4 linked regions of the Arabidopsis thaliana genome follow. The protein of the gene in region 1 interacts with the protein of each later gene in a biochemical or structural test. Each region holds a gene or a part of one and is shown in the gene's direction. Other genes may lie near its edges.

Region 1 (5,459 bases):
TGGAGCTTCCCTAGAACATACAGGTAACTAAAAATCATTCCGTTTTTTCGATAAAAAATGATTTACCCTAATTAAATCTTGGTTTCTTGTAAAACAAGGCAATGACCAGGAAGAGGCTAATATAGAGGACGAGCCAAAAGAAGAAGAGGACGAAGAAGAAGTAGCAATAGTGAGAACAAGATCTGTTGGAACTATGAAGATTCTATTGAAGGCTTGGAGAAAGCTTATAATCAATCCAAATACATACGCAACATTGATCGGAATCATTTGGGCTACTTTACATTTCAGGTGTGAAAACAAAACTCTCTTATATTTAACACTGCAATCATATCTTTTGTGATAAATCATCTTACACATCTAAAGATTCAATCTTTATCATCTTACATATTCAAACACTTCCTTTTCTCTTTTTCAAAAAGAAAAGCGATAATTTAGTAGTGAGTTTCCCCTATTTTAAGCTTTCTGTTTGATCATTTTTCGCATCTACAAATTCATTTTTTTTAATATTTTAAAATCGAAAAGTGATAGTCAAGTGATATTCCCAACTATTAAGATTAGCTTCTTTTTTTAATAGTTTGTATCAAATGTTACTCATGTTTTTATTTATTTTCTCCAATAGATTGGGATGGAATTTGCCTGAGATGATTGATAAATCAATACATTTATTATCTGATGGAGGCTTAGGAATGGCCATGTTCAGCTTAGGTAAGCTATATATCTATACAAAAAAAAAAAAAAAACTAAACTTTCATGATTGGAAATTAAATTTAATTTAACAAAAAATGAAACAGGTCTGTTCATGGCATCACAAAGTAGTATCATAGCATGTGGTACAAAAATGGCGATTATAACAATGCTGCTCAAGTTCGTATTAGGACCTGCTCTTATGATTGCTTCTGCGTATTGCATCAGATTAAAAAGTACTCTCTTCAAAGTAGCAATATTACAGGTGAAAATATTAAAATTAATAATCCGTTAATAATAAAATCTGTCATATATATGTTTTTGTCGATTGATTTATTGTGTTGTAGGCAGCATTGCCTCAAGGAGTAGTGCCATTTGTTTTTGCAAAAGAGTATAATCTTCACCCGGAGATCATTAGTACTGGGTAAATAAATATATTTCTTGATTTGATTTTTTTTTTTCCTTCTTCTTATTACAATTTTTTTGAAATTTATTTTTGTGGTTTTTATTGTTTTGCTTTTTCAGGGTGATATTTGGAATGCTAATTGCCTTACCAACAACTTTGGCATATTATTTTCTATTGGACCTATGAATATGACATGTTCAAAAAAAAAACATGTTTTATACGTAGGCTCTTAATTTTGGATTTTATATGGTATTTAATTTAGTCATAGTTTTTTAGATGTTGAAATTATAAAGCTAATAATGTCAACCATTCTCTTTAATTATTGTAAATCATTTTTCTCCTGATATTAAATTAGAAAAAAACATGTCAACTAGTAAAATCAAAATTTTGACTTATTCTTTTTAAAAAATAGGATAATAGATACTATATAGGAGTAAATATAAAAGAACACCATTTAAGAAAATTTAAATATCACATTAATAAGAACAATTCAGATGGTTAACTCTAAGAAAATAAATAGACATTGTCAAAGACTCAACAACAAAAAAAAAATTATATAAAAATAAATAAATTTTGGGGATGAAGAAAACTAGAGAGTACACGGCCTGCTTTGCTTGCCACGCAATGAAAAATGGAAAAAAGCCATAAAAAAATAAAATAAGAATACGAAAATCAAATAAAAAACATAAAAAAAATGCCTTGGAGAGAGGGGAATATATAATCAACGGTTGATAAAGAGGGACACCGACTCATGTCATATTAATCTAACGGCTGAGATATTTTTACTTGATAAGCAGGGAAATACAATATTATAATATAAATTAATTTAGGGTTACCCTTTCTTCTTCCCCTTATATACACAAACACCACACCTCATTTTCTCCAGAATCCTCCATTACTCTTCTTCTCGACTTCGGAATCTTTCAAAGCTTCTTCGATTTTTCCAGAGGCAATCATGGTTAAAGGTCCAGGACTCTACACTGAAATCGGCAAAAAGGCCAGAGGTACGATCTCTCTCTCTTTCTCTATGGTGACGCGAATGTGACTGTTGTTGACATTTCGTAAACATTTGAGCTCTTTTCTGATCTGGGTTTAGGTTGATATTCATTGAATCGGTTAGGGTTTCTCATTCCTGGTTTTATTCCGATTTCTATCGGTCACGCTTAGGTCGTTGAAATTTGAATAGATGCATAAAAAGTTAAATATTCGTGTTTTGTGAGCTGATTGATAATATCTGTGTTCGTTTCCGTCAGATTTATGCTATCCGTTTCGTTTATCTGTATAGATAGAATAACAAGACTGGTTCTCTGGGTTTCAATTTTTGGGTCACTCGTTGATTAGCTGGTTTTGAAATTTTTTATCTTGGATCTGGAAAATGTCTATCAAGGATACAGAGTAGTTGTCTCGTGTTGAACTTTTCTATTTGAGTTGAATCTGAAGGTTTTTGAATGCTATTGTAGATCTTCTGTACAGGGATTACCAAGGAGACCAGAAATTCAGTGTCACCACTTACTCTTCAACTGGTGTTGTAAGTTTTTATTATTGTTTTTATTTCTGTCAATTCTCTATTTTGTTGGTGCGATGGGTTTATTGTTAGTGATAAAATTGAGATTTGTCTAGTTTTCTGTTATGTCAAATTTGGTTGTACAGTTTGTTTTCATGTGTACTCTCACTTGACTCTTTCTTGTGTCGAATGGTGATAAATTTGTAGGCGATCACTACAACGGGAACAAACAAAGGAAGCTTGTTTTTGGGTGATGTTGCTACCCAAGTGAAGAACAACAACTTCACTGCTGATGTCAAAGTTTCCACTGATTCTTCTGTAAGTAGACTTTTTAGCTTTAGCTGTTTCTAGTAGATATATGATGTTGCCGATTGCTGCTGGAGTATTCAATTGATTTTTTTTTGTGTGTGAATAATTTCAGCTTTTGACCACTCTTACCTTTGATGAGCCTGCCCCTGGACTGAAAGTTATTGTTCAGGCTAAGTTGCCCGATCACAAATCTGGAAAGGTATATAACTCCACCAGCTTTCTTTTCTTTCTGTTCCGTTTTTTTAAAGGTTGGTATGTTGGAGATAACCATTATTTGTTGTTTTCTGAGCAGGCTGAGGTTCAGTATTTCCATGACTATGCTGGTATCTCTACCAGCGTTGGATTCACAGCTACCCCGATTGTCAACTTCTCCGGTGTGGTTGGAACCAATGGTTTGTCTCTTGGTACTGATGTGGCCTATAACACCGAATCTGGCAACTTCAAACATTTCAATGCTGGTTTCAACTTCACCAAGGATGATTTGACTGCTTCCCTCATTCTGTAAGTGCCTCCCTCCATATGAAATGATGACTTGAGATTTTAATGCTGCTGGTTTTAAAAGAGTTGTTTCTTAAACTGTTTTTTTTCAGGAATGACAAAGGTGAGAAATTGAATGCATCCTACTACCAGATTGTGAGCCCGTCGACTGTGGTTGGAGCTGAGATTAGCCACAACTTCACGACCAAAGAGAACGCCATCACTGTCGGAACTCAACACGCGCTTGACCCATTGACCACAGTGAAGGCAAGAGTGAACAATGCTGGTGTGGCTAACGCTCTGATCCAACATGAGTGGCGTCCAAAGTCGTTCTTCACCGTTTCTGGAGAGGTTGATTCTAAGGCGATCGATAAGAGTGCCAAGGTTGGGATTGCTCTCGCTCTCAAGCCCTGAGAAGATACCACCAAATGGGCCCTGAAGTGGGTAGAATAGGTGTTATTTCTTTTTCGTCTTCAAATCTTTGGACAAATCGCTGTCTGGTTTGCTAAACAATCTTTCATTTGTTTTTTTTGTTCGGTGTTGGGATTTGTAGAAAATAAAAGAGAAAAATACTATTGAAAGGATCGTCTTTGACGATAAAGAACCATTAAGATCGTTTTACTTGGCTCTCTCTCTTTTATTTTCCGCCTCTGCTACAATACTCTGTTCCATATCTTTTACTTGGTTCTCTCTTTTATTTTCTGCCTCTGCTATACTTTGTTCCATTTGGAGTTCCCTTAGTGGATTTTTCTATGAGGTTCTTCTTACATGTCTAATTAATTTTGTCTAGTTGGTCAGATTTTTATCTGAGGTTTAGCCAACAAGATAGGTACACCTTCAATAGCACCTGTACTGATTCTTACATAGAACCAAAAAGTCATCAGTTTTATTATTCTTCAAACCAAAGAACCAAAAGCAAGAGAAGTAGAACCTATTCCGATTAGAGCTTTGGACTGTATCGTGTTCATCAAAACCCCTTCTTTTCGAGCCAACACATCGATCATCTCGAAACCAACCTGAAAACAACACAAAGTTGTAGCATTGCCGAGATCAAATCCAGCAAATCAGTAAAAGAAAAAGATTGTGTCTTGTTCCATGATACTTGTTTCCTGGATTGCCCAACCCAACGATAAGCCAAGGAGTGTACTCTACTTTGAATCTATCATTCTGACCACCAGAAGTAGATGAACAAACACGATACCTCTGTTTCCGGGATACTGGCTTTTGCGTTTGAAAATGGTAGATACTTGGTGTTTTCAATTTATAAAGAGCATCAAAAATGTTTTCAATTTATAACTTTTCTATGCTTTCAGCAATGGAAGACAAAATCAGTTTTTTTTTTTTCCATTTGGATTTACCCTTCTCCATCGTACATTATTAATCAATTAAAGAGTTACCCTAACGTTGTTTAAAAATATCTCCTTGTTGCTTAAAAACGACGATAAAAGCTTGAGCCTTCTAGCTCTGTTCGTTTGTGGCCTATTTCCACCACGTAAGAGCTATGTAGTTGCTCCTTTAGGCTTTGGCGAAGGAATCTGATGTCGATAAGGCGAAGAACCATGAGGACTAGACAGTGTTCGAAACACGGGTTGGTGTTGCCCGTTTCTTGATCCAAATCCTTGGGATCGACCTGACCCATTTTTCAAACGTTCAGCTTGCATTGTCTGGAAGTAGTAAGAAGAGCTTGCCATGTCTTTCAGATGCGGAAGTGGTTTAAGTGCTTCCACAACATCACTCATCTTTGGCCTAATCTTGGGGTCACGGCTAAGACATTGTGCAGCAAGCTGAGTCACTTTTTGAGCACCTTTGATTGAAAAATGGCCCTCAAGCCTCGGATCAAGTAACCGGTAAAACCTTCTCTTGTCAAGAAGATGCGGTCTTGCCCATTCCACTAAGTTGTGCTCACCATTTGGGCGGTTTTTGTCCATAGATCGTCGTCCAGTCAACATTTCAAGTAGAACCACCCCAAAACTATAAACATCGCTCTTTGATGTCAAGTGACCTTAACAAGTTCAACAGGAAGCAAATCAACAAAGATGTAAACATTGAATGTTTTCAAGTTGAAGAAAATGGATGAAA
Region 2 (5,038 bases), on another chromosome or scaffold:
CGATGACAAATCCAGATTGCCTTGACGAAGAGAGTGAATCTGTTGACGCAGCTTGTAAAGTCGAGGGAGGCTAGATTTGTGAAATCGAGTATAGAGATCTTTCCAGATTGCAGCGGCTGTGGGAAAATACAAGATGCTTGTATAGATCTCCTTCGATACACTATTCAGAAGCCAAGACTTAACCATACTGTTACAACGACGCCAGATTTTGCAATAAGGATCATCATCATCAGGTTTTGGAATAGATCCATCCACAAATCCAAGCTTATTCTTAGCTTCAATGCTAGTAGTCATGGCTATAATCCAGGTACCATAGCTGTTTCCATCTAACAGTTCTGGAGCTAAGACTAAACCAGGATGATCGGAGCTAACAAGATGATAAGGACTGTGACTATTATCAGGAGAATCCGATACCTCAAAGTGACGCGATGAGCTGTATTGAGCTGGTTGATGAATCGCAGCATGAATCGAGGATCCTGGAGCTCTTGCTGATGAACCAGAAGACTGCTCATGAATCTTCGATGAAGCAATGACAAGTAGATCCGGTGAACTACTCCGACGAACACTCTTTCCATTTCGTTTACCCATGGAGAATCGAAACAGCTAACAAATGAGACTGGATCGCAAAGGAAACGAAGAGAAAACGTGTAGAAGTTCAAGAGAAGAAAAAAAATGAGAAGATGAACAAACTCCGGTGAGATTCCAGTGAAATCAAATCGGAAAAGTTTGTTACGAGACTGAGATCGAGATATTTTGCTCTGATACCATATTAGTAAAACAATCTCATTCTCATTAATTAGCAAAAGAGTACAATTGGGGGTTTATATACAAACTGATATTGGCCTAAACCATAAGCCTCTAAACCAAAATTAAGATTGGTTTATAGAATACCAACCTGTACAGACTCTATATGAAATCTATACTAACCAAACTAAGCTTATATACAACAATCTAAGCTATATACATTAATAGACGAAATTTTTAAACAAAACCCAGGATTCGAACATCAAATAACCCATCCCCAACGCAACAAATATTATCAACCAACTTTTCATTTCATCAATGACACTGTGAATCATATAAAAGAGATATGATGTCGGTGTTGAAGATAACTTCTTTATTGTAAGATTATTTTGATCGAATAAGCTGCCTCAAATCTTCTAATTTCGACAACTCTTTATCTGTGAGGACACTATGAACACGTTTGTAAAAATCCATCACTTGGTCTCTAGCTACCACCATTTTCTTTCTTCGCATAGGGCTGGGGAATAATGAGTTCTTACAGTGAAAACATAAGTGGTGACCGGACGCATTGAACCTAACATCGTAGAAAACATTGAGGAAATTTTTGTAACATAATAAAAAGAGACATGTGGAAAGAGAAAACAAAAATAAAACAAAATATTGAGAAGAAACCAAGAAAGGAGGAATTTCTTTAGTAGAGAGATCTACCGAGATTATAAAGAAATTGAGGAGTAGAAGAGATGTCAGCGAGCTAAAGTGACATCAGAGGAAAGACTTTGAAGTGGTTCCTCAATACTAGAGGTATATAAGAAAAAGAAAAAGAGGCAGATCCAAAATGTTGGTTTTGAAAGTTTTATAGATTTTTAAGATTTTGTTTTTGTTTTCATTTTTCAAGAGCTAATTGTCATACCATTACCAATCAAGTTTTAAAATGTTGGTTTTCCAAGAAAATACTTTTGCTATAATCTTTTTTTTTGTCATCAGATATTATTTAGGATTCAACGAACCAATTTTGAAGAAAATTGTTAACAAAAGCGAATTTTTCATGCCAAATAGTTTTTTATTCAAAATTTTAGACTTTTAGTTATCTTATAAGCAAGCGTTATAATTTATTTATTTTTTTAAAGAAAATTTTGAGAAAAACAATTGCGAAAAAATGTCAGGAGATCTTCAAATGTTCAAAAATACAAAAAAAAAAAAAAAAAAAAAAAAATTAGTGTGGGGTAAAATAATACGTTTAAATTTTATTGACTTTTCATTTCAATAGTCAACTTTTAGTGACTTCTTATTTCAGTCGCTAACTTTTTGTTGATGTTGCCAAAATAGTCATTAAATTGACCCGAGATCACAAATTGCGGGTAACGGAACTTTGTTAAAATTTCTGTTAAATCCACAAGTGACTGGATTAAAAAAAAAAAGTGCAACTGGCCTAATATGAGCCCAATAAAAAATATCTCAAAAGTTTTATGGGCTTATTACAGATGGGCTTAGTCAGAGCACTATCTTACCCAAACAATTAAAAAAACAATTTACAATATGTTTTCGTTTTCTACTTTTTTCGGTTATTTTGGGCAAATGATATCTACAGCTCAACAAATCAAAAAAATTCAAAAATATTTCAATTTATTATTTCTCGATTTTTTTCACAACTGTATTTTAATTGTATTTTTAGTAGAAATACTTATTTTTCCAAAAATATTTGTTTGTGTTGATGTATATATAAAAAATCTGCATCAGTGTTTTGTCTACATTTTCTCTTCCATTAGTTTCGTTATCTTTTTATTTTCTCTATCTATCTGGATATTATTTTTTCACTTGGGGATTTGGAGAAACCTCTCCTCTCTCTATCTATAGCCATGGCTGCTTTCACTTGTACCTCTCGTCCTCCGATTTCTCTCCGCTCCGAGACCAGAATCGTATCCTCATCACCATCGGCTTCTTCTCTCTCTTCTCGGCGGATGTTCGCCGTCTTACCGGAATCATCAGGTTTGAGAATCCGTCTTTCTCTCTCTCCGGCTTCGTTGACCTCGATTCATCAACCTAGGGTTTCTCGATTACGAAGAGCCGTCGTCTGTGAAGCTCAGGAAACTACTACCGATAGTATGTTTTCTCACTATTCCTTTTTCGATTTTGGTTATTAACTTGTCTTTGATTCGTGCTCGTTGGTGGATTTTGAGAACTGATTATTGATTTGTGCGAGGGAAATTAGAAGCAAGGTGCTTGAATTTGTGTTGTTGTTCTTGTTGTAGCATTTAGTAATCTGCTAAAAACTTGAGATTAGTTACAGATTAGTGAATCTGGAGGAGGAAGAAGAGTTTCTTTAGGAGAGTATACCTTTTGAGAAAATTCTTGCTGAAAATGAGGTTTCTGTTAGAGGAACGATTCATGCCATTTGCGTGAAATTTGAAGAAGGTTGCTTTTTAGGATCACTTCTTTTTTGGGGATATTTTACTTGATTAATGCAAAGTCTCTCTAACAAACCTAGAAATTAGGTTGGGTACCTACTCAGATATTTTATTGGTTGGATCATACACATTGTGACAAGAAACAGTTATTTGGCTCATGAGAGAAGAATGTTGCTTTTTGTGCTTTAGAGTAAACATATCTTGATTCTCTATACCAGCAGATAACGATTTTGGTTATCACTAGCATTGATATTCTACGATTTTAGATAGGTAAGTCCTTTTCCGTGATAATGTGTTTGGTGAGATTAGCAGTATTATCTGCTACAATGTTAACTCAGTCATTGGTCTCTCCTCTCTGGTGAAAACATAAAGCTTTATCCTTCACTGGATCTATCAAATTTCTATTTTGAAAAACTTTCACTTCTAGATCATTTTTAGGAAATATCATATAGACTTGCTACAACATACTGATCTAGCTGAAGATGGATAAACGGGTCAGCTGTCTCTTTGTTTTATTCGTCCACCTTGGCTGATATATTTTGTTTTCATTCATGATTCTAAAAGCTTTGGCAATAAGGTGTTGATTTGTGTTATTGATCCTGCAGTTCAAGTGGTCAATGACTCGACATGGGACTCTCTAGTTCTTAAAGCAACTGGGCCTGTAGTTGTCGACTTTTGGGCACCATGGTGTGGACCTTGCAAGATGATTGATCCGCTTGTAAACGATCTAGCACAGCATTACACTGGGAAGATCAAGTTCTACAAATTAAACACTGATGAATCTCCTAATACTCCCGGCCAGTACGGAGTTAGAAGCATCCCAACGATCATGATCTTTGTCGGTGGCGAGAAGAAGGATACAATCATAGGTGCAGTGCCCAAAACCACACTCACATCTAGCCTCGACAAGTTCTTGCCATGAAATATCACTTGTGGAGTCTGTAAGATCTCGTATCTCTCTGTCTCTCGTTCTTGTTCTCATTATCTCTGTAACTCATTATCACTGAACATCTAGACCTGGATAAATAATATGATGTCATGTCTTATGTCATTTTTACTGGTTTGAAGATGTTTTGAGATGCGGAACTAAAGGTATCAAAGAACAATCTTGGACTAGACTAATGGAACCACATTAAAATGATTCCACCAATCTTTTTTTGGTCATGAGAGAGATCTTAAGATTGTTTGGTTCTGCAAGTTTTTTGATGAACACACGCTAAGGTTTGTTACTTATTCTAAAACTCCTCGTATTAAAAGATATTATGCGACACTCTAATGAATGAGCACATGTATGCAAAAGGGGCTAAAGGTTCATACATGTCCTAATCTAAAGAAAGAATATACGTATTCAGCTGAAAAAGGTCTTTATCGACCACGAGCAAAAGAGAATAAATACGTTCGAAATATCTCCTTATTTTTGCATAAGCAAAGAAATTCATCCACCATAGTTTATGTGTACCCAATTTGTGGATAAGGATATGTCAATTAGGACAAAATGAATAATAGCCGAAAGAATTGAGTTATTTTTGGACTGATCCCACAGTTCCCGACAAGCTTTTGAGGTTTTAGAGTTGTTGATCCGGTCTATGACTAAAGTTCGACCAAAACCAAGTTATTTAGTTTGGACAATATAAATCAGAAATATCAAGAAGATAAATTATATGATTAGTTCATAAAGTTTTAGTTTTAGATTGCCAAGAAAATATTCTAATATATTAGGTCTGAACGAAAGTGTTAAATCTGATGAAACCTCTCTATTGGTAATGTCTTTTTTTTTTTTTTTTGGTTGCCGTCCTTGGTTTGAGAATTATATATTTAGGCTGAAGATAAGGTCAAAAGAAAGATGCAATCCGGTTTTATAATAATAGATCAGTTGGACTTTTATAAAT
Region 3 (8,226 bases), on another chromosome or scaffold:
CCTTTGGGCCGCTTATAACCAGCCCATATTAGTGCATAGATATTATTGCGCAATTTATGGTAAAACACAACAAATAAAAGAGAGATTCATGCGCAAATGATGGTAAAGAAAATAATGGACCATGCGACCAACAAACAAACAAAGCATTCTTGCGATCATAACTACTTCTTTCTTTCTTCTTTTTATTTTAATCTCAATGTCTTAAACTTAATTGATTGGTTTATGAAAAACAGAACAAACAAAAAGAAGACTTGATTGAAATTACAATCTCATCACACCTAATTACTTCTGTCATATCTGATCACAATCTTCTACTTCAAGCCTTTTTTTTTCTTTTAACAACACTTCTACATCAAGCTAGGGTTCTCTTTTATTTTTGTTTTCACCTTCCATTTTTCTTATTTACTGTTTTCAACTTTTAACCACATAATATCTGTTACTATTAAAGACTAACACCAATTAATACTGTTTGAAAAAGATATTATAACTTCTTTTTTTGGGTTAAATTATTTATAACTATTTCTTTAAATTTTAGATAGAATTTTCATAAATACAACATTTCTTAAAGATAGCATATGAAAATATTTATGAGTAACACTGAAAATCCTGTTGTGTTTTTGTGGTAATTTGTTAGTGTTAATAAATTAACTGGTTCGCTGAATTGGGTTAGGAAATGTGGGAAAAGAAAGAATAGAAAAAAGCAATCTCGAAAGCTTTCATTGTGCCGCCCGTAATCATTTGAATTCCATAGGATCCAACGTCTACTATTCATATATGATTTCTTCTTTTATTTTTGTGGAAATAACATCTCCCACCACTTTCAAAAATAAAATAAGAACAATTTATAAAAGTCACTAATACAATCTAGAGAGAAGGAGAAATTGAGAGAGGAGTTTATTACGATTACGAATTCTGTTTTCATGAAAGAAGCAAAACTATACAATATGTTCTTTATATACAAGTATCTAACTTAACCGGTCAACTGAACCCGAAAATTAATCTAAAGTTTAAACTAAAACTATATGTATAACTCAATAGTCGTTGTTACATAATGGCAATGATAACGGCTAAATATATATGAACAAAACCCACAAATGTATTTCCCTATAACAATGCAGTATTATATCCAAAATAAGTTCATTATATTTAATTTCCATAATATTATTGAATCGCTTTACCAAGTTCAATTTCGGTGTTTCCAAAAGACAGTGTTTTTATTTCTTAGTCCTTAGAAATATTCTCTTTCCTAACACTTCAAACATATATAATCTACTCCAAAGTCACTTATATATATAAATTGATTCCAAAGTCACACATATAAAAAATTGAAAATACGATACGAAAGCAAAATATACAAAATTAAGTATATGAAAAAGAGGGAGGAATTGTTTTAGGGCATATAATGCTGCTTAGTGAGGTATCAGGTGGGCCGACTTACGAGTTACGACTAGAGTACGTTTTCGTTAGCTGACTTCGATGGATGCTCGCCACGTGTCAATCTTGAATATTTAAAAGGTCAACCATCATATGAGCTGCAAGAAGAGGAGTGGGTTTTACGTTTTAACACAAGTACTAATTACAATTCACAACTATAAAAAGTAGTCTACACTAACTATACCATTCATGTGTCCGACAAAAAAAGAATAAAACATAAGATTTACTTTTCGATTCGGATTTCCAAATCCATCAAAAAAACGATTGAAGTTTGTAACTATTTTGCCAAACTATCTTGTGAAAGATACTAATAAATTCATAATAACAATACATCCTGATAAACAGTTGAAATAAGCTTTGACGTTTTAAGAAGAAAAAAAAAACGGAATAAATAAGCAAAAGACAGTGAACCAACACTTGATTTTCTCTACACACGTCTCTCTTTCTCCATCTTCTACCCGTTATAAAAAACACACAATAAAGTGCAAAAGGCAACGAATCAACTCTTAATTTTCCTCTTCACAAATCTCTATTCTCTCTATCCCATCTTAGAAGTTACGACATCCAAGAGCTCATCATCCCAAGTTCTTTGTTCTGGTTCGAATGGTGTGATCGATGAACAACATCATCCGTGGATTGTCTTGTCCCTTCAAGTTCAACACTTGTAATTAAGGTTCGTGCATGTAAGTTCTCTCTAGTCCCACTTCTAAATCTAGTCAAAAATCCTCCATTTATTGATAGACCTCTTATGTGAAATTAGTTGACCAAATTATAGAGATATAGAGGGATCTATCACTTCTTCAATGGATTTGATTTACAGATATAAGATTATTGTTTTTAATTACAATGTGGTCTTCTCACACAATAGTCTATTAACGTCAGCAAACGGGTTGCTTCTAAAAGCTAAGATTTCTGTGTAAAATGCAAAATGAGTGTTTAAAAATCATTTTTGTTGAATTTGAGAGTTGTGTATTGATGAAACCGTGTTTTCAGAAAATACTATCTTGTGGAAGAGAAGTAATAAATCAACTCAACAGAAAAATAATAAAAGAAGAAAGGTGAAAAAATGCCACAAGAATTAATGAGAGGATTAAAGGGTTTGGTGGTGTCGTCCACAAGCAATGGAGATTATGAGCTTGCTCAACGAAAAGCTGAAGAAACAGGTTTGTCTCATCATCATCACTGTTTGTTTTTTAAAATTGTTTTTCATAATGAAAATGAAGATATAAATCAGATAAAGTAAAGAAAAAAGAAGTCGAAGATGGACCATATATATGTTAATAATAGCTTTGTGATTCAAAAACAATTACGTTGGGTTTGATTTGAATTTAGAGAAAGTCGTTTAGAAATTTGCTTTATGGAATATGGCTTTCATTATAGGGTTACCCACCACAACCGCAAAACTATTATTACTTTTATGTTTGGTATGGTGGATATACAATTCAAATTTTCTATAATCTCCCAAATCTTTTTTCTATAACACAACTATTACTTTTAAATTGAAAAAACATATTTTTGTAAAGCTTGTTTAAGTAGATTTTATGTCATAATTAAAGAAATAACCTTGATGACAAGATGGTAAATAGGAAAGAGGGTGATTTTGTGAGGATTGACAAAAAAGCGCATTTGCCACTATAGCGAAATGTCATTAACTCTTGCTAATTCGAGGACTCAAAGAGTAATTATCCAAAAATAGTGTTTACATAGAGAAAATTTAAAAGCAAAATTCTACTAATTCAGATGGTCAAACGGTAACCAGCTAAAAAGTAAAATTTTTTAAACCAACAAAACTATTATTATTATTTTTTGTCAATAGTTTTTATTTAGAGATCAAAAGAGTCAATCTTAATAAATATTCTTTACATAAGTGATATAAAGCAGTTCGGTACGAATTTTTAGTGCCAAATTGTCCGTTTTAACATTTGCATTACGAATTTTTTTTGAATTTTTCCTTATTGTTTTGAAAATTCTCTAAATACACTGAAAACAAAATTTGTTTATTTAATAAAATAATCATAAGTAATTTACTTAAAAAATGTAAGATTATCTAAGTATATATTCCCTAAAGCAATTAGTGTATTTTAGCCAAAAATATTCCCTTAAGCAACATAAGTTGCCATAAGATTATATATAAGAACAGTAACAACAATATTTTTTTAAAACCCATTAGGAAAGATATTGGGCTTTGAATCAATATCTGAGCCCAATTTATTTCCGCGTTAAGTTTTCCGTTATTAATAATACGTTTCTCGAGAAACATGTATTTTGAATTTTTGATTTTGGGTTTATGTGAATTGTCAAATTTCGTTAGCTCTGAGAAGATACCAAGCGGTGGCATGGCTGAGACAGATGGACCAAGGCGCGATGGAGACACTCCCGGAAAAACCGTCGGAAGACGAGTTCTCCCTCGCCCTCCGCAACGGCCTCATTCTCTGCAACGTCCTCAACAAAGTCAATCCCGGTTCTGTTCTCAAGGTCCAATTTCTAATCCTTCTATATTCTTCTAGTCTAATGCAATGAACTAGGGTTTAATTTCTACTTTCCGATGAGATTAAGAGTTTTTTTTGTTGTTGTTGTGATTGATTCAACTTTGTTTTTTTGTTGTTGTTGTGATTAATCTTCTACAATTTCGAGTAATTTCTGAATTACTTGTGATTTTGATTGTTGAATAAGGTGGTGGAGAATCCGATTACGCCAGCTATTCAGTACGCGGATGGAGCGGCGCAATCGGCAATTCAATATTTTGAGAACATGAGGAACTTTCTTAAAGCTGTAGAGGATATGCAGCTTTTAACATTTGGAGCTTCTGATCTCGAGAAGGTTCTATTTCAATATCACATTATGTAGTTGTTTACTTTATCTTTTGGCATATGCATATGTTATGTTCGATGAAATTCCCCAGAGAATGATAATATGATGAATGATGCATTTCGTAAGTTGTTTAGGATATGAAAGATTGTTTTTTTTTGGCTTCTGTTTTTGCAGGGAGGATCGTCGAACAAAGTAGTAGATTGTATTTTGTGTTTGAAAGGTTTTTACGAGTGGAAACAAGCGGGTGGAGTTGGAGTATGGAGGTATGGAGGGACTGTGAGGATAGTATCATTCAATCGAAAAGGCAGTTCTCCGCCGCAGTATGGGATTGGTAGTGAAAGTACTACCGATGAGTCTGTTTCTTTGGATGAATCTGAGTCTTCTCAGTATGACCAGCTTTTGGATTTTCTTCATCTTTCTAATGAGATCTCAGCTGAGGAATCTGAAACTGCAATCTCCTTGGCTTTTCTTTTTGATCATTTCGCGCTTCAGCTTCTACATGGTTACCTTAAGGAGAGTGATGGGATCAATGATATGCCTTTAAATGAAATGGTAGGTAAGACATGTTTGAGTTATGTTTGATTGCTCTGTAAGTTACGCAATGTGAAAACCTTAACTCCTGTTGAATCAACCATTTAAAGACTCGAATAATATATCGTGTTTCACCTTCTCAGTTTTTGGTTACTTTTATAGGTGATTGATACATTGCTGAACAGGGTAGTTAAGGATTTCTCTGCAATACTAGTTTCTCAGGGAGCTCAGGTACTACTTACTCTGCATACTCTTCATGGAATTCTTTTCGAATGGTGAGACATTTCTCCAGGGTTTACAATTATTTTTTGGTATCTATTTGCAGCTGGGTTCGTTTCTAAGGAAAATACTGAAATGTGATAACGGGGATCTGTCAAGATCAGAGTTTCTAGCAGCAGTCTTCAGATACCTTCAGCACAGAAAAGATTTGGTGTCAAAGGAGTTTTCAAAGTTTTGTAAATGTGGCGGAAAGCTTGAGTTTAGTAGACTAAACGCCCGCGAATTTTCTCCGGGTCATGTAGAAGCTATTGGTCTTCAACAGAAAGAGCTGGAGGTCAGAATTTACATTTCTCTTCCAATACTTTCTCTTGCTTTCGAACTTTCTCATTTGGTCAATTCGTAAATGAAAGCTGTGTAAGAATCTTGAATTTACGGAATGGATTTCTTGCTTTGATGAACTCATGTAGGAAGTTAAATCAAATTTTGTGGAAACAAGAAGCCAAGTTAAACAAATGCAGTCAGAATGGCAGAAAGAGCTTCAGAGGATAGGTAATGAATCTTCTTATACCCAAATTTTCTCTTCTCGGTAATTAGAGATTACATGATCAATCTCTATCATCCTCTATGGCAGTCCATCACGTTAAGGCCATGGAAGTTACATCTTCTTCTTACCACAAGGTTCTGGAGGAAAATCGCTTACTTTACAATGAGGTTCAAGATCTCAAAGGTACCACGACCTACTACATCCTTGCATAGTTGCATTTGAGTTTTAGTATTTTGTAGTGTATCAACTTCTGTTTTCGTTGTACTGTAGGCACCATTAGAGTTTACTGCAGAGTCAGACCTTTCTTCCAAGAACAAAAAGATATGCAATCAACTGTGGATTATATTGGAGAAAATGGTAATATTATCATTAACAATCCTTTCAAGCAGGAGAAAGATGCACGGAAAATATTTTCCTTCAACAAAGTATTTGGACAGACTGTCTCACAAGGTATGTTTTGTTATTCCATCGATGTCCATCTCCAAGTGCATTCAAATTTTCAAAGATATTTTGAGACTTTTGTTATATATGACTTAGCTTTGAATTGGTTGGTTTTGCACCACCTAACTATTTTCATGATGCTTAATTTCTTGTCTATTGATATTTGGTTGTTTACTTACCAGAGCAAATCTACATTGACACTCAACCGGTAATAAGGTCCGTCCTCGACGGATTCAATGTTTGTATCTTCGCGTATGGGCAAACCGGTTCAGGGAAAACGTATACGATGGTATGACCATTTCTATTTGCTTGCATGGTGACTCCCATAAACCGTCAGACATTGTTATTTCTTACTCTGCCTTTGACATTGGTTTGTCTCTGTTTTGCCTTACAGAGTGGGCCAGATCTGATGACGGAGACAACTTGGGGCGTGAACTACCGAGCTCTACGCGATCTCTTCCAGCTTTCAAATGCAAGAACACATGTGGTGACTTATGAAATTGGAGTCCAAATGATCGAAATATATAATGAACAAGTTAGAGATCTACTAGTCAGTGATGGTTCCTCCAGAAGATATCCTTTCATATACTTTATAGTGTTGAAATATTTACATATTCTTCTCGAGTGTTTCCTCTGAGAATCCCGTAATCCTTGACCAGTTTCTCACATTAGACATACGCAATAATTCTCAACTCAATGGCCTTAATGTACCCGATGCAAACTTGATTCCAGTTTCTAATACTCGAGATGTCCTTGATTTGATGAGGATTGGCCAAAAGAATCGTGCTGTGGGTGCCACTGCTTTGAATGAGAGGAGCAGCCGTTCTCATAGGTAAATCTTTGTTTATACCAGTGCTTAATTCAAGCTTTAAAATTTTCCTATGATCATATAATAGTCGTTGAATGCTGTGTGTTCTACTGCAGTGTATTAACTGTTCACGTCCAAGGAAAAGAATTGGCCTCAGGATCCATTTTAAGAGGCTGCCTTCATTTAGTGGATTTGGCTGGAAGTGAAAGAGTAGAAAAATCCGAAGCTGTAGGCGAGAGACTCAAAGAAGCTCAACACATAAACAAATCGTTGTCTGCATTAGGAGATGTCATTTATGCACTTGCACAAAAGAGTTCCCACGTTCCCTACAGAAATAGCAAGCTTACACAAGTTCTGCAGGACTCCTTAGGTAAACGAACACAAAAACTAAGTTTTGCAAGCCATTTTATTTCCCCGTGCTTTGTTGTAGCTTCATCTCTCATCTATGAAACTATGTGCAGGTGGACAAGCAAAAACTTTAATGTTTGTACATATTAATCCTGAAGTTAATGCGGTAGGGGAGACTATCAGCACCCTTAAGTTTGCCCAAAGGGTTGCATCCATTGAGCTTGGAGCAGCTCGATCAAACAAGGAAACCGGTGAAATTCGAGATCTTAAGGATGAGGTACATATGGCATCAGTTTCATTTTCGTTGTGCAAATCTTAATAAATATGTTGTAACAATCTTTCTTCCACATATTTAGATATCCAGCCTTAAATCGGCCATGGAGAAGAAGGAAGCAGAGCTGGAACAATTGCGATCAGGTAGCATTCGGAACACAACTGAATGTCAGAGAGCAAGAGCAGTTTCTCCTTTCCATCTCCCAAGAACTGGTAACGGTGCTGGAACAAAGGCTGAGGCAAGTCCACAGCCAAACGACGGTACCAGAAGCTACGAGGTAAATCACTCAGAGACTAGATTTTTCTTTTTTATTGATCTGTTGGTAAAAGAGACTTTTATCTAATCAGTTTGGTGAATGCCATTTGCAGACCAGAAGTTGCTCAACTGGCAAGCAGAGAAAGTCAGGGTTTCCGTCTGCACTGAGAAATAGAGAAGCAAGCCCGAGGATGCCGAATCTAGCAGAAGAGAGGTTAAATCCGAGTCCAAGTAGGAGATCACTATCCACAGACAGAGCATCAACCATCAAAAGTAGGAATAAGCCCGACGTTACCCAAAACCTTCCGGTTTCAAGAACACCTTTTCCAGCTAGAGTACCAGTAGTCAAATCCTTTTCAACTGTTCCATTGAACCCATCAGCAGAAAATAACCACAGGCTTCACACTGATAACTCTTCAGAGGCATTTCAAAATCATCAGAAGTTAAGCGCTCGAAAGCTCTTCCCTGAGATCGAGGAGGAACACATAAGGCATGCACTACACATACGTCAAGGTGGTGTTAAGAAGACCAGAGCCGAGAGCAGTAAAGCCAAGGCAAAGC
Region 4 (4,910 bases), on another chromosome or scaffold:
CAAGAGTAACAATAAAAAAAAACACCAATCCATATAATAGACCAGACGAAACTCAAAAAGTCAGAAGAGAAGAGAGACATCTTCACATGGCCGAATGAAACACATATCCAAACGCCAAGGACAAAGAAGAATTCATCACTTTCTTCCATTTCTTCTCTGCAACTTCCGTACCAAAAAATACATAAAGCCCTAACTAATATTATTTCTCCACCAAGTTTCTTTATCTTTTAGTTTCCCGGTAAAAAATCTCTCTGTCATGTCTTATGTTCTTCCACGTCGTTCCTAATCTCCCAAGACAGAATCTCTAAACTTCATTTTGCTCCTTTTCCACACAAAACTTTCTCTCCCTCCAAAGACCACAAAAAATGTTCTTCCTTCCTTCAACTTCAAGTATCTCTCTTTATTCACACGTATAGCATCCAAAACCAAAAATCTATAACCTTTTCCTCTGTAAAGTTTCTTCCTTTCTAACCTTCCCGAGAAAAAAACAAACCCTTTCTGTTAGAAAACCATGAGAGGTCTCGCGGCTTGTTACAGTGAACACGCCATTAAAGTATCAGATACATATTGTTCAGGTCCATCGAATCATTCCTATATATCTCCGACATTACCTCCTTCAATCCCCGACACAGTAACCACCACTTATAGATCCAATCTCCCATCTTCCGACAAACCCGTCTCTGTTTCACTCACCTGGTCGGATAATCTCACCGTCGTCATCTCAACGCCGCCGAAATCATACTCTGTTTCACTCAGAAAACCTAAAGGATCAAGAAAGTTGACTTCTTCCTCCGGTTCACTCAACGCCGAGATCCTCTGGGATCTATCGGAAGCAGAGTACGAAAACAACGGACCTGAACCAATAAGAAGATTCTTCGTCGTCGTCGTTGTAAATTCCGAGATTACCCTCGGAGTCGGCGACGTTGACCACGAGCGAGACACGTCATCATCGTCGTCGTGGCGAGTCTCAAAAACGGAGAGATTCTCTGGAACTTGTTGGCTCACGACGAAAGCTCAATTCTCCGACGTCGGAAGGAAACACGAGATACAGATTCAATGCGGCGGAGGAGGAGGAGGAGGAGGAGAGGAAGGGTATTTATGGAAAGTGAAAAGTCCTGAAACGATGTCGGTTTATGTTGATAAGAGGAAAGTGTTTTCGGTGAAGAAGCTTAAGTGGAACTTTAGAGGGAATCAAACCATGTTTTTCGATGGAATGCTTATAGACATGATGTGGGATTTACACGACTGGTTCTACAAAGAAACGTTGTCGTCTGTTTCGACTAGTTCATCGTCTAAAACGGCGTCGTCGTCATCGTCTTCTTCAACTTCATCGTCTACTCCTCCGTGTGCTGTGTTTATGTTTAGGAGGAGGAGTGGTTTGGATAGTAGATTATGGATTGATGAAGATGAACAAGAGAGTGAGATGAAGAAGAATATTGGTTCTAGAGATGAGAAACATTCGTTTTCACTTATCATTTGTGCCTCTAAAAAGTGACCAAATAAACAAATAAACATTTTAACATAACTCTTCGTTGTCTGAAATTTTAATTTTAAGAATATTTTGTGTTGCATTTAGGTATATCTGATAGGTTGATTAGATCAAATGTTTTTGTGTTTTTTCTCTGCCAAATGTTCGTGAGAATGCAAGAGATATTCAAATTGTGTTCATCAAAACTAAAATTTATATTCAAAACCGTGGATGGCAAACTATGCATAAGATAAAATGTACATAATTTTTGTTATCTTCTAAAATAAATGTACCTAATTTAATAGCCTAATAATATCTTCTAAAGTTATTAACTTTTGTTTATGACAATGATGATGATAGGAGCATTTTCGATATTTCCAAAAAAAGAAATGGAAAGGACATTGCAACAAAATTGAAAATTCAAACAAACAAACAAAATAAAAAGTGCAGCTAGGGGATAAAATTCAAAAGGCAGGATAGAAAATAAACAAGAAAGAATTCATGAATAAATAAAAACACTAGAAGTTGAAATTCTGAAAAATACTTGAAAAGAATTGATACAATGAATTTGATGATTCATTGTCCGAATTAGACTACTCACAGTCTCACATAAATATCAATTCTAAATTTTTGGTTCCAAGATCTCAAAGTCTTCACTTCTCATTTTGTAAACACAATTTTTTTCAAGGGAAACAAAAATTGAATCATTTTACCTGAGGAATATTATTGGGCTACAATGGGCCGTAGTGAGGCCGAAGTCACACCTTAAATAGAACGTGGTAGAAGTTACTATAATATTAGAGTTACAAACCAGTAATCACGGAAGTAGTAAAAACGGCCCATAGAAAGTATAAACAATCCAACGGCTGAAAAAGCTTACCTTGGAGAAGAGTCCAAAATATCTTCTGGAAGCTACCATCACTCTCTCCTATATAACTCAAAATTCACCATCATCTTCATCATCATCATCATCATCATCCTTTCTTTATCCAACTTTCTTCACCAAATCGATTCTTCTTCAACCATGTCTTCCTTCACCTCCAAATTCGCCGGTAACACTTCATCTCTCTTTCTCAGTACTCTGTTTATCAATTTTCTGCACAATCGATATTAATTTGTGTCACAAGTTTGGATTCTTCGTTGATACGGTGCTACTTTGATGCGATCTCGTCTTCTGCACTAAAAATTGATAGATTATCCGATCACGCACATCAGAATGATTTTAGCTGTCTTCGATTTGGTTTTTAGGTCTTACGGTTTAACGTTTTTGAGGTTTATATAAAGGCTTTGGACTAGTTGTTTAAGTGATCTGACTATACGAGTCTAATTTTTGGGTTTTGCTCTTGCAGATGAGCTGATTGCTAACGCTGCTTACATCGGAACACCTGGAAAAGGTATCCTTGCGGCAGATGAATCAACTGGTACTATTGGGAAACGTCTCGCTAGCATCAACGTTGAGAACGTTGAATCCAACAGACGTGCTCTTCGTGAGCTTCTCTTCACTACTCCTGGAGCTCTTCCTTGCCTCAGTGGTGTTATCCTCTTTGAAGAAACTCTTTACCAGAAGAGCTCTGATGGTAATTGACAGTTTAACATCGCTATATGTCTGAATCTGTGTATCATCGTTGACTTTGATTGGGGTTGATTTTGGTTGTGATGCAGGTACGCCTTTTGTTGATATGTTGAAGAGTGCAGGAGTTTTGCCTGGTATTAAGGTTGATAAGGGTACCGTTGAGCTTGCTGGAACCAATGGTGAGACTACTACTCAAGGTCTTGATGGTCTTGGTGACCGTTGCAAGAAATACTACGAGGCTGGTGCTCGTTTCGCCAAGTGGCGTGCGGTTCTTAAGATTGGTGTTAATGAGCCATCTCAGTTAGCTATCCATGAGAACGCTTATGGATTGGCTAGGTATGCTGTCATTTGTCAGGAGAACGGTCTTGTGCCGATTGTGGAGCCTGAGATTCTTGTTGATGGCTCTCATGACATTCAGAAGTGTGCCGCGGTGACAGAGCGTGTTCTTGCAGCTTGCTACAAGGCTCTGAGTGATCACCATGTCTTGCTAGAAGGAACACTCTTGAAACCTAACATGGTTACTCCAGGATCAGAGAGTGCGAAGGTTGCACCAGAGGTGATTGCTGAGCACACTGTCCGTGCTCTTCAGAGGACAGTTCCAGCTGCTGTTCCAGCCATAGTGTTCTTGTCTGGTGGACAGAGCGAGGAAGAGGCGACAAGAAACCTTAACGCGATGAACCAGTTGAAGACAAAGAAGCCTTGGTCGTTGTCTTTCTCCTTTGGAAGGGCGTTGCAGCAGAGCACTTTGAAGACTTGGGGAGGAAAAGAGGAGAATGTGAAGAAGGCTCAAGAAGCGTTCTTGGTCAGATGCAAAGCTAACTCTGAAGCAACACTTGGTGCTTACAAGGGTGATGCTAAGCTCGGTGAAGGTGCAGCTGAGAGCCTTCACGTTAAGGATTACAAGTACTGAAGAAAGAGGCTGAGGATCGTAGTTTTTATATCATCGTTTATGTTCTTGCTTTCACTTTCTCTGTTTTTTGTTTGGTGTTTTGTTTAGAAGAGTGGTGGCACCAAAGAACCCCGTTTATACTTTTTTATGAGGTCTTTGTGTTCTTATGAAGCCTTTTTAAAAATGAATATTAGCTTGTTGGGTTATAATTTAACATTATCAATAGTGACGACATTTGGGCGGTTGTATAGTTCATAATGTCTACCAAACTCAAGAAAATAGAAAAGATCATCGAAATATTTTGGACTCCCAACTTTGAAACCCAAAGGTAACATACAATCTCTAAAAGGCCTCCTGGCACAACAGAAGAACAGGCCAGTGAGGCTACCAACCATGCTTACACATTTCAACATCCATATTTTTTAGCATTAGAAAACTCTTTTCTTTTGAATGTTGTATTTATTCAATCAAAACGAAATATGTACATATTCTTTTTTTCTTTTGTATCAGTGATCTACTTGCAAACTTTTTGGAATCCTTTGATATCACCACTATTTCTACGTTGAAAGGATTTACCGACTGCTTTAATAATATAGTTAACATTCTACCTAGTAATTAATTTATGGCATAAGAAGTAAGATCAAAAGCAAAATTTTTACTAGACAATGTATTTTATATACACAAAAAGCTTTTGTTAGGCAAGCATTAAAGCTAGCTTACCATTATTAAAATATATATATATATATATATATATATATTTATTAGAATCATTCTCTACGTAGTCAATAGAATAATTAGTTTTGATTTTTCGTTAGTTACAACAACAAAATATCTGAGAATTGAGAGACTTTGAGAACATATAGACACCATACTTGGAGACTTTGAGAACAAATAGTATAGACACCACAACTTTCACTTAGACTTTGGGAAACTATAATGAAACCAAGTATTTACTACACCGTGGGTTAGTTATAGATTCA

The links.
Region 2: the proteins of VDAC3 (region 1) and ATHM2 form a complex in vitro, tested with the Arabidopsis thaliana proteins (one study listed by BioGRID).
Region 3: the proteins of VDAC3 (region 1) and KP1 form a complex in vitro, tested with the Arabidopsis thaliana proteins (one study listed by BioGRID).
Region 4: the proteins of VDAC3 (region 1) and FBA6 interact in far-western blotting, tested with the Arabidopsis thaliana proteins (one study listed by BioGRID).

Annotation. Positions count from the first base shown.
Region 1 is NC_003076.8:4,887,976-4,893,434, reverse strand, and holds VDAC3 (voltage dependent anion channel 3), read left to right. Parts: upstream 1-1,831; 5' UTR 1,832-2,045; coding exon 2,046-2,094; intron 2,095-2,550; coding exon 2,551-2,618; intron 2,619-2,801; coding exon 2,802-2,912; intron 2,913-3,015; coding exon 3,016-3,102; intron 3,103-3,195; coding exon 3,196-3,404; intron 3,405-3,493; coding exon 3,494-3,794; 3' UTR 3,795-3,912; exon of another isoform or gene 3,913-4,142; intron 4,143-4,264; 3' UTR 4,265-4,471; downstream 4,472-5,459. Other genes in the region: PIN8 (Auxin efflux carrier family protein), read left to right, coding at 1-23, 99-288, 620-705, 792-949, 1,032-1,108, 1,210-1,276; AT5G15080 (Protein kinase superfamily protein), read right to left, coding at 4,880-5,382. UniProt on the Arabidopsis thaliana protein: Forms a channel through the mitochondrial outer membrane that allows diffusion of small hydrophilic molecules. The channel adopts an open conformation at low or zero membrane potential and a closed conformation at potentials above 30-40 mV.
Region 2 is NC_003075.7:1,561,618-1,566,655, reverse strand, and holds ATHM2 (Thioredoxin superfamily protein), read left to right. Parts: upstream 1-2,451; 5' UTR 2,452-2,600; coding exon 2,601-2,844; intron 2,845-3,260; exon of another isoform or gene 3,261-3,419; intron 3,420-3,754; coding exon 3,755-4,071; 3' UTR 4,072-4,453; downstream 4,454-5,038. UniProt on the Arabidopsis thaliana protein: Thiol-disulfide oxidoreductase that may participate in various redox reactions. May activate NADP-malate dehydrogenase.
Region 3 is NC_003074.8:16,282,105-16,290,330, forward strand, and holds the start of KP1 (kinesin-like protein 1), read left to right. Parts: upstream 1-1,728; 5' UTR 1,729-2,117; intron 2,118-2,427; 5' UTR 2,428-2,500; coding exon 2,501-2,597; intron 2,598-3,636; exon of another isoform or gene 3,637-3,745; coding exon 3,746-3,909; intron 3,910-4,107; coding exon 4,108-4,254; intron 4,255-4,419; coding exon 4,420-4,797; intron 4,798-4,938; coding exon 4,939-5,007; intron 5,008-5,101; coding exon 5,102-5,329; intron 5,330-5,462; coding exon 5,463-5,544; intron 5,545-5,626; coding exon 5,627-5,722; intron 5,723-5,809; coding exon 5,810-5,989; intron 5,990-6,162; coding exon 6,163-6,269; intron 6,270-6,374; coding exon 6,375-6,553; intron 6,554-6,647; coding exon 6,648-6,812; intron 6,813-6,904; coding exon 6,905-7,158; intron 7,159-7,249; coding exon 7,250-7,413; intron 7,414-7,492; coding exon 7,493-7,687; intron 7,688-7,778; coding exon 7,779-8,226. UniProt on the Arabidopsis thaliana protein: Required for keeping the ATP levels stable and balancing the aerobic respiration pathways during seed germination at low temperature.
Region 4 is NC_003071.7:15,295,970-15,300,879, reverse strand, and holds FBA6 (Aldolase superfamily protein), read left to right. Parts: upstream 1-2,125; 5' UTR 2,126-2,492; coding exon 2,493-2,520; exon of another isoform or gene 2,521-2,740; intron 2,741-2,817; coding exon 2,818-3,045; exon of another isoform or gene 3,046-3,130; coding exon 3,131-3,951; 3' UTR 3,952-4,267; downstream 4,268-4,910. Other genes in the region: AT2G36470 (DUF868 family protein, putative (DUF868)), read left to right, coding at 512-1,495. UniProt on the Arabidopsis thaliana protein: Fructose-bisphosphate aldolase that plays a key role in glycolysis and gluconeogenesis. Associates with GAPC1 to the outer mitochondrial membrane, in a redox-dependent manner, leading to binding and bundling of actin.